2 linked regions of the Caenorhabditis elegans genome follow. The protein of the gene in region 1 interacts with the protein of each later gene in a pairwise test. Each region holds a gene or a part of one and is shown in the gene's direction. Other genes may lie near its edges.

Region 1 (4,204 bases):
TACTCCTGAGCAGCAGCTCCATTAAGCTTAGTGAGCATTCCATATCTATAATTATTTTCAGCCGACGTGTCTACTGTCGTTTATTCGATGAAAATAGGCAGGAAATCTATCAGAAAGCCGTGGCAGTTTTCCCCGAATTAACAATAAAGTGCTCGGAGAGTTCCTCAGTAAAAGCCGAGTTCGTTGCTGTAACTATAAACAAAAAGGATGTTCCAGGGAATATGAAGCAGATTTACAAAGAAAAAGAAACAAAGAACAAATCAGAGTTTACTGTATGTCTTGCTCCACTTTATGGAGAATCTCCGAAAGTGTTGATGTTGATGGAATTTATTGAATATTATAAGTTGCAGGTTAGTGTCTTGGGGTTACGGTAGAGTAGTTATTTTTAGAAATAAAGTGCATTTCAGGGCGCTGACCATTTTCTAATTTACTCATTCAACATCTCAAAGGAAACTGAAAATGTTTTGGATTTCTATAGAAATTCCTCAAACCTTGAAGTAATACAAATGGGAAATGAAACTAAATGTCTAAATCGTCATAGATGCAGACATGAGATGCAGTTACAGGTTTGTTTCAATTATTTTAATTTAAAAATAAAATTAATTCAGGACTGTGTATTCCGAACTCAAAAGTACTCAAGCTGGGTGGCAACGGTTGATTTGGACGAAAGGATCATGATGATTGATGAGAAATCTACTCTTTTAGATTATATCAGGTTTTCATTTTGCTTACTTTTTTATCCAACTCTCTATATTGACAGAAATTGCAATGATCATAAAATCTCTGAACTACGTTTTCGTTGTCAATGGACTCTTCGATATTCTGAAATTTCTTCTGGTGCTCCTCAAATTGAGAATCTTCCAATGATTACTTGGCATAACACCAGCCACGTGGCACCGCAGAATCATACTACAAAATCGATTATTCGGTCCCGAAATGTTGACTCGATGGGTGTGCACGGAGTTCAAAAGTTCCGAAATCCGATCTATGGAGTCCGACTTGTGGAGCCAGAAATTGCAGTTGTCCGACACTATCGATTGATTAAAGGATGGAGTTTCTTTTTAAGAGAAGCCGAATCTTTTGGCAACTTTTTCCATTTTCAACTATCTCCTGGTTTATCTAGTCGTATTATTGAAAGGGTTGCAAAAATTATTGCGAAATTTTAGAACATTACGGGTTAATAAATGTTTTTGATTTGTTTTGTTTTCTGTATTTTGATGTATTTTTGAGAGAATAAAAATATTATACCAAACATTTTGCGTCGGAATACTGTAGCTTCTCGGAAAAATATTTTTGAAGCAAAAACATGTTAAGTTTTTTTTTCAAAATCGTGAATTTTTAACGACAGCAATAATAATTTATTTCGTAAAACACATATTTCCTCATTTACTGGCAGTTTCCAGCAAAAATTACAGTCATTTCACAATTTTAATTCAAAAATTCTCAGCGGGGCGCACTTTCATATCTGTTCCTTGTCATCGTTTTGCACCGTTTTCGTCCTTCATCACGAGAATTTCTCGAGTTTTAGACAAGTTTTTACACTTTTTTGAACAGCTGTTGTCGAGAAAGCTTATAAAGTTAAAGTTAAAATGTTCTACTTCACAAATTCTCAGGTTCCATTCTTTTAACTTTCGAATCTTTATTTGAAAGGACAAAAAGTTTCCCGAGAGAACGGTTTTGTGTAATTAATTTTTTCATCGATTAGATGCGTTTATGCTCTAGAGATGCAGCGTTTTCATTTACAAATACGCAAATGTTCTTCGATTTTTTCTCATTCTTCCTTTTTCAATCTCATTTCTCATTTATTCTTCTAATTTTCAGATGTCTTTCCAAGTGAGCGTAGCCGTTAACGATGGACCATTCCAAAAGAAAAGTGTTACACCAAACACAACTGTTAGTTTTAATACTTAAATGTAATCTTTTATTCAATTTTTTTGCAGATTGGTGATCTGAATAACGACGCAATACTGATTTGGAAAGATACTGCAATTGTCTACGATATTTCGGATGAATCGAAGAATTTTGGTCCAACAGTGACATTAGAGGTAAATCGAATTGTTAAAGAAAATCTTAATCATACTATAAGTTCAGCAACTTGGCGTCACTCAAATTTCAATGGTTTACATATATACCACTGCGTTCCCATGTCCGTCTGGAGATCTCCGATCGATCGTTCCAGCACAAGTCCGGCTCATCTCGCAATTCGCTTCAGCTGCGTCGAGTATTTTTAATGGACAATCGTCTTCCTCAGCACAGTCTGCTCAGAGAACACGGAGAGTTGAACAAGATGATGAAGGTGAAAAATCGATGTTCTCTCGGAAACTTTTGGATTCTCCTGCGACGTTCAAAGCGCTCTCAGAAAATATGTTCTTCCGTTTGAAAAACGAGCCACACAAATTGGGCTACGGTTTGCCGGAACTTGTTGAACGCTTTTTGGCGAAAAAAGATATGACTTACAGTGAGTAGCGCATTTTTTAAATCTTTATCTGACGCCTATCTAATTTTCAGAGGAATTCGAGCAAATGTTCCGTTCCTACGTCGAAGAAGAAGTTCACAAGGAAGAAATTATCAAAAACAATCCAAATTCAGCAGAAGCAAAAATGTTTTTGGAAGCGAAAAGAAATAAAGAACTGATTGATGAACAATATTTACACGTAAGTTTACAATAGAAGCCTGTAAATATATACAAATTGTTATAATTTCAGTCAATGACCCACCACCCAGAAGATATGATTGCCGTCACAATGCTCTACATCAATTTGACTATAAATGGTGTTCCAGTCAAAGCTTTCATTGATTCTGGAGCTCAAAAATCGATCATGTCAATGGCATGTGCTGAACGTTGTGGTCTTAATGGATTAATCGATAGACGGTTCCAGTCAATGGCCCGAGGAGTTGGTGGAACAGAGAAAATCGAGGGAAAGATTCATTTATGTGAGTCAAAAGTTTCCAACATTGATTCACATTCATTTTAATAAATGTTTTCAGGCGATGTGAAAGTTGAAGATGCTCACTTTTCATGCCCATTCGAGGTAATGGCTCGTCGTGAGATGGATCTTCTCATCGGGCTTAATGTGCTCCGTAAGCATGGGTGTTGTATTAATCTGAAAACTTCACGGTATGTTTCCCTCACGAAAATCTCGCGAAATCTAAATTTTTTTTTCTTTTTGAGATTGGAGTTTGGCAACGGAACAACAACTCCATTCCTTCAATCCAATGAAATTGATTCTCATCTGAAAGAGATTATGGCACTTCCTGAAGAAGAAATGCAATTCGAAGATGGATCCACATAGTTCCGCCCCTACAATTTATCCTTCAAATCTCCTTGTCTTTTCATCAAAAACATTTCAATGCCACTTTACTTGTATTTTCTTCACTGCAAATATTATACGGAATTCTTTTTTTTCTGCAAATACACTCTTTCTGTGCGTATCACTTCTTTTTTCTCCATGGAAACTACCACGAGTTGTTCCCATGGGAAATTCCCAGTAAATATCTCAAATATATATTTTTTTTTCATTTTCGCTGTCCATTTTGTTGCCACAGGCGTTTTTCAGGTTGTATAATAGATTTTGTAAATAGCAGCAATGTTCAAGCTGAAGAACGGACAAGAAATTCCGAAATTGGCTCTCGGGACATACGAAGCCAAAGGTGATCAGGTTTGGAATATTTTTTATTTTTGAACTTCGTTATTTTATTTTACCTTTTTTAGCTTTTCGCAGCTGTCGACGAAGCACTCAAAGTTGGATACCGTAGTTTCGACACAGCGAAGTACTATGAAAATGAAAAGGATTTGGGTTTAGCTCTTAAAGTATGAATTAACGAAATAAAACGCAAACATGCTTTTTTAGGAAAAAAAGAATCTGATAGAAAATATATCATTACCCAGACTCGCGTTTTGTGCCAAACATACGTTACGCGGTCTCGGCGCGGCAAATGTTTGCTAATTGCGAAAAGGTGTGCGCCTTTAGAGAGTACTGTAATTCCATTCTCTTCACGTTGCACCATGAATTATAATTGATTTTCGTAGTTTTTCTTAATTAAAGACACAACCATTTTTATCATTCGTGTGAAAATCAATAAAAATTCTGCAGAAACGAAAGCTTAAAATTTTTTACAGTACTCTTTAATGGAGCACATCTGTTTGTATTTAACAAAAATTGTCGTTTCGAGACCGCGTACAGTAGTTTTAGCGGAAATTTTG
Region 2 (4,007 bases), on another chromosome or scaffold:
AATTATTTATAATTTTTTCAGAGTGAACACGGTTCTAACAAATCAGCCAGAATTTGCCGAGGCTTTCAAATGTCCAGCTGGATCTCCGATGAATCCAACGAAACGCTGTGTTGTGTGGTAATCAGAAAATACGGGAAAGGAGTCAACCAAGTTGGCACGCTTTATCTATCTGTCTCTCAGAATCTACTAAATCTTTCGTCCTTTTTTTTTACTCATCTAGCTGTATATATTGTTGAAAACAATAGACACTCGAATTCACTGTATTTTGTCCCTCTATGTATTTTTTCTCGAATTTTTCCAACTTCTTTTTTTGGTATATCATATTGATAGATGTTCTTGTTCATTCCAGAAATCTTTGTGCAAATAAAATTTTCAGATGTAATTAAAACTTGCTAAAACAATGCATCGGAAAGTTCATTTTCTTACAGTACCGAGAAAAAGACGCGAATAAATTAAAATCAGTTTACAAATACAATGCTTGAGTTCTTGAAAGACACCGGTTAAACGATTTGTTCGAGTTGCTTGGCGTAGAAGAGGGTTTGAGTTGCGACTCGCACTGTATCCAAATTCACAGGCTTCTCCTGAGCCACCTCAATTTCGAAAACGTAACGCTCTCCATCCAAATGCCATTTTCTCTGTAAATAAATATATTTTTTAATACTTGTAGCTTTAAAAATCATTATTACCTCTTGTCCAAACTTTTTCATTTGTTCGTCATTGTCGAACAGAAGCATGACCGTGGCATCCTTCGCTGTCAGAACTTTGAAAGACTTCTCGATAGATGTTGCGATTTCGCGACGGATGGTGTCAAGCATAATACGAATGAAAATAGTGTAGAAGGGGCTTGGAATATTCTTCTCGGTGAGCACAACCTTGTTGTAGGCTCCTTCCATGAGACTCTGTTCAATACGAACTGGCGTAGAGATGTAAGCGTTTGATGTTTGCTCTTTCTGTGGAATTTGTTCGAGGAGCATGTGGAAGTCGGACAATCTGTTGGCAGCGAGCAGGAACATCAGATGGAGTCCAGTCATTAAATGCTTGTTTTCAGAATTTTCTGGCGCCATTGTATAGTAGGTATGCATCTGGAAAATTAAAAATAATTTACAGATCGTTAAAAATTACATAAATTTTCCAAATAATTATTTAAAGACTCACCTGATTGATGTAATCGTCGAACGTTTCGAAATCGTGCTTCAGAATTGCCAAGAGCACCGAAATCTCGTACAAATCTCTGAAAATTAATAATTTAAACTCATTACACCAAAGAAAAATCTTACTTTGAAGCCAATGCAGACTGTTTATCATTCAAATCGCTGGAGGCACTGAGAACCTTCTGAAAATTCAATTTATTTACAATTTGACAAACAATTAACTGACCGTCAACTCATTCAGAGCCTTCTCAACTGCGACAAGATCTTTTGGCTCCTTTGCCCACACAGCCAGAAGATTTTTATGGGCGGCAGACATTTTCTTAAATCCAATAATGTTTTAATTTGATAAAATCGAAGATAAAAGTTCACGATAAACACAAGTGAAGTTAAAAAATAAAAATAAAACATTCAAAAAAGAAATAAACGCATTCTCCGTAAATCGACACAATGACAATTCTGGCAGGTCTCGCCACGAAGAGTGTTCAAATCATGTGCGCCTTTAAGACGCCAAGCCATTTTCTCTTCTGTTTTTTACCACTTATTTTGTTCTTCAAAATGGTTTTTTTGTTTTGTTCTTTTATTAATAATCAAATGTTTGTTTATTTTATACATATATACTGCTTGTTTTGCATTAATATCAATCTGTTATCGATATTTATTTCTTTTTCTTTCAATACATGACTCTATTCGTAACATTTCACAATTTTTTGCAGGATGGTTTTGTCCGTTACATTCAGGACTCTCACACAAGTTAACTTCAATTTGGAATTGAATGAAGATCAGACGGTAAGATTAGAGTTAATGTTCGACTTGTATTTTATTTTTCTTTCAGATTGCGGAAGTAAAGGCTCTGGTCGCTTCGGAGAAAGGGGATGATTATGCTCCAGAACTTCAAAAATTAATCTACAACGGAAAGGTATTACAGTGAAGGCTCATAATATCTTTAAAGTATGTTTTTTTTTTAGATTCTCGACGATTCTGTGAAGGTCGGAGAAGTCGGATTCGATTCTTCGAAGTTCGTTGTTGTGATGCTCAGCAAAAGGAAAGTCACAGAAGTTGCACCTTCATCTACCGTTGCCACAGCTGCTGAGCCTGTTCCAGTAGCTGCCGCTCCTGCGTCAAACCCAGCCCCAGCTGCCGATGTTGCTCCTGAAGCTGCTGCTCCTGCTGAGGCGGAGGCGCTTACGGATGAGCAAGAAGAGAACGTTCTCGCAATCACTGGAATGGGCTATGACCGTGAACAAACTATCGCTGCTCTGCGCGCAGCATTCTGGAATCCAGACCGCGCAGTCGAGTTTCTTCTCAACGGACTTCCTGATGATGCTGCTGACCAAGAACCAGATTTGGGGCCCGAGCAAAACATCGATAACGTGGATGAGGATGGCAATGACGATCTTAACATGCTTGCAAACATGCCACAGCTTGCAGAAATTAGAGCTTTGATTCAACAAAATCCTGAAATGCTCGCCGCAGTCCTTCAGCAGTTGGCTGCTGTCAACCCAAGACTTGTTCAGACTATTCAGAACAACCAGCAAGCTTTCATGGATCTTTTGAATGGTGGAGCTCAAGGAGCCGGAGCCGCTGCAGGAAATGCGCCAGAAAGAAACACCCCACGTCGCCATGTTATCCATCTCAGTCCCGAAGAAGCTGCTGCTATTGAGAGAATCAAAGCCATAGTTGTTAATGCACCAGAAGCTGTGGTTGTGGAGGCTTATTTCGCATGTGACAAAAACGAGGAAGCCGCTATCAACTTTATTTTCAGCAACCTCGTGAGTTTATTTCCATACGTAGATAATTAGAAGTTTAATTTTTAATTATTTCAGGATGAGGAATAATTATCTTACCCATGCCAATAACTTCTGATCACCGTCACTGGAAATTGCAACAGAAATTAATTTATTCTCTCTCCCCCATTTCCGTAAAGCTTATATTCTTGCTCCTATCAGCCTAATTTTTTTATTAACACTTCTTCCAAGAATGTGTATTCATCGCCTTCTCGATTGCCCTTTGTCTATATATTTAAGATAATAACACATTCAGTTCCATGTGCTGATTGTCACCCGCTACTGGTAGGCACTTCGTTGAAATTCTCGTCGCGTTCAGCGAATTTTGTGTGACATAATTTCGGTATTGTAATTCCCTTTTGTCATCCAACATTTTCAAATGAAAGTCAAATGTTTTAATGATTCTTCGTTTCGATTTATCAAACTTTACCCAATGAGTCATCACGATTTCGTACTCCAATATCGGTCGTTCATTTCTTCTGAATATGCGCTAATTCACTTTACTTGAAGATGTCTGGAAAAATAAGCGAAGAAGCTATGCAGGAACAGGCCGAAAGGGCGGAATATGTGAAAAATATTGGGATTGAGTACAGATTTGGATGCTACGAAGTGAGAAATTTGAATTTTCAATCTTTCTTTGAAGTTAAATTTTCAGGAAAAAAGGCCAGAATCCTGTCAATTGCTCGGCGAATACATGGAAGCTCTGCAACAAAATTTTCAAGCGGCCGTAGCGATTTTCAAGAAGAACTGTGACGAGAACAGTTATCCAAAGTCATGTTTCAAGTACGGAATGTACATGTTAGCCGGAAAAGTTGGAGACGATGCAAGTCTGTCAAAAATGATTCGACCGATGAAAATCGCATGTGATGCGAATATTCCACAAGGATGTCGATATTTATCACTTGTTCATTGGAATGGAGAAAAAGATCGGAAAGCTGATTCAGAAAAGGCTGAACGATACATGAGAAGAGCCTGTGAACTGGAAGATGGTGAAGCTTGCTGGTTGTTGAGTACCTGGTATATGGGAAATAAGGAGAAATTTAAGACGAATGCTGCAGGAGAGGCTAAGGTT

The links.
Region 2: the proteins of ddi-1 (region 1) and rad-23 interact in a two-hybrid assay, tested with the Caenorhabditis elegans proteins (2 studies listed by BioGRID).

The regions. Positions count from the first base shown.
Region 1 is NC_003282.8:6,521,053-6,525,256, forward strand, and holds ddi-1 (Protein DDI1 homolog 1), read left to right. Parts: upstream 1-1,814; 5' UTR 1,815-1,821; coding exon 1,822-1,893; intron 1,894-1,940; coding exon 1,941-2,045; intron 2,046-2,091; coding exon 2,092-2,458; intron 2,459-2,508; coding exon 2,509-2,654; intron 2,655-2,705; coding exon 2,706-2,934; intron 2,935-2,988; coding exon 2,989-3,118; intron 3,119-3,172; coding exon 3,173-3,293; 3' UTR 3,294-3,519; downstream 3,520-4,204. Other genes in the region: gtnt-2 (Glycosyltransferase family 92 protein), read left to right, coding at 62-350, 408-566, 609-715, 761-1,166; C01G5.5 (NADP-dependent oxidoreductase domain-containing protein), read left to right, coding at 3,588-3,659, 3,713-3,811. UniProt on the Caenorhabditis elegans protein: Aspartic protease. Required for the cleavage and activation of transcription factors such as isoform a of the transcription factor skn-1, which in turn regulates the expression of proteasomal subunits such as rpt-3.
Region 2 is NC_003280.10:11,650,587-11,654,593, reverse strand, and holds rad-23 (UV excision repair protein RAD23), read left to right. Parts: upstream 1-1,864; 5' UTR 1,865-1,865; coding exon 1,866-1,937; intron 1,938-1,983; coding exon 1,984-2,067; intron 2,068-2,116; coding exon 2,117-2,920; intron 2,921-2,974; coding exon 2,975-2,986; 3' UTR 2,987-3,332; downstream 3,333-4,007. Other genes in the region: nep-1 (Neprilysin-1), read left to right, coding at 22-121; rpn-12 (26S proteasome non-ATPase regulatory subunit 8), read right to left, coding at 501-635, 687-1,082, 1,156-1,231, 1,278-1,333, 1,378-1,467; coa-7 (Cytochrome c oxidase assembly factor 7 homolog), read left to right, coding at 3,446-3,544, 3,591-4,004.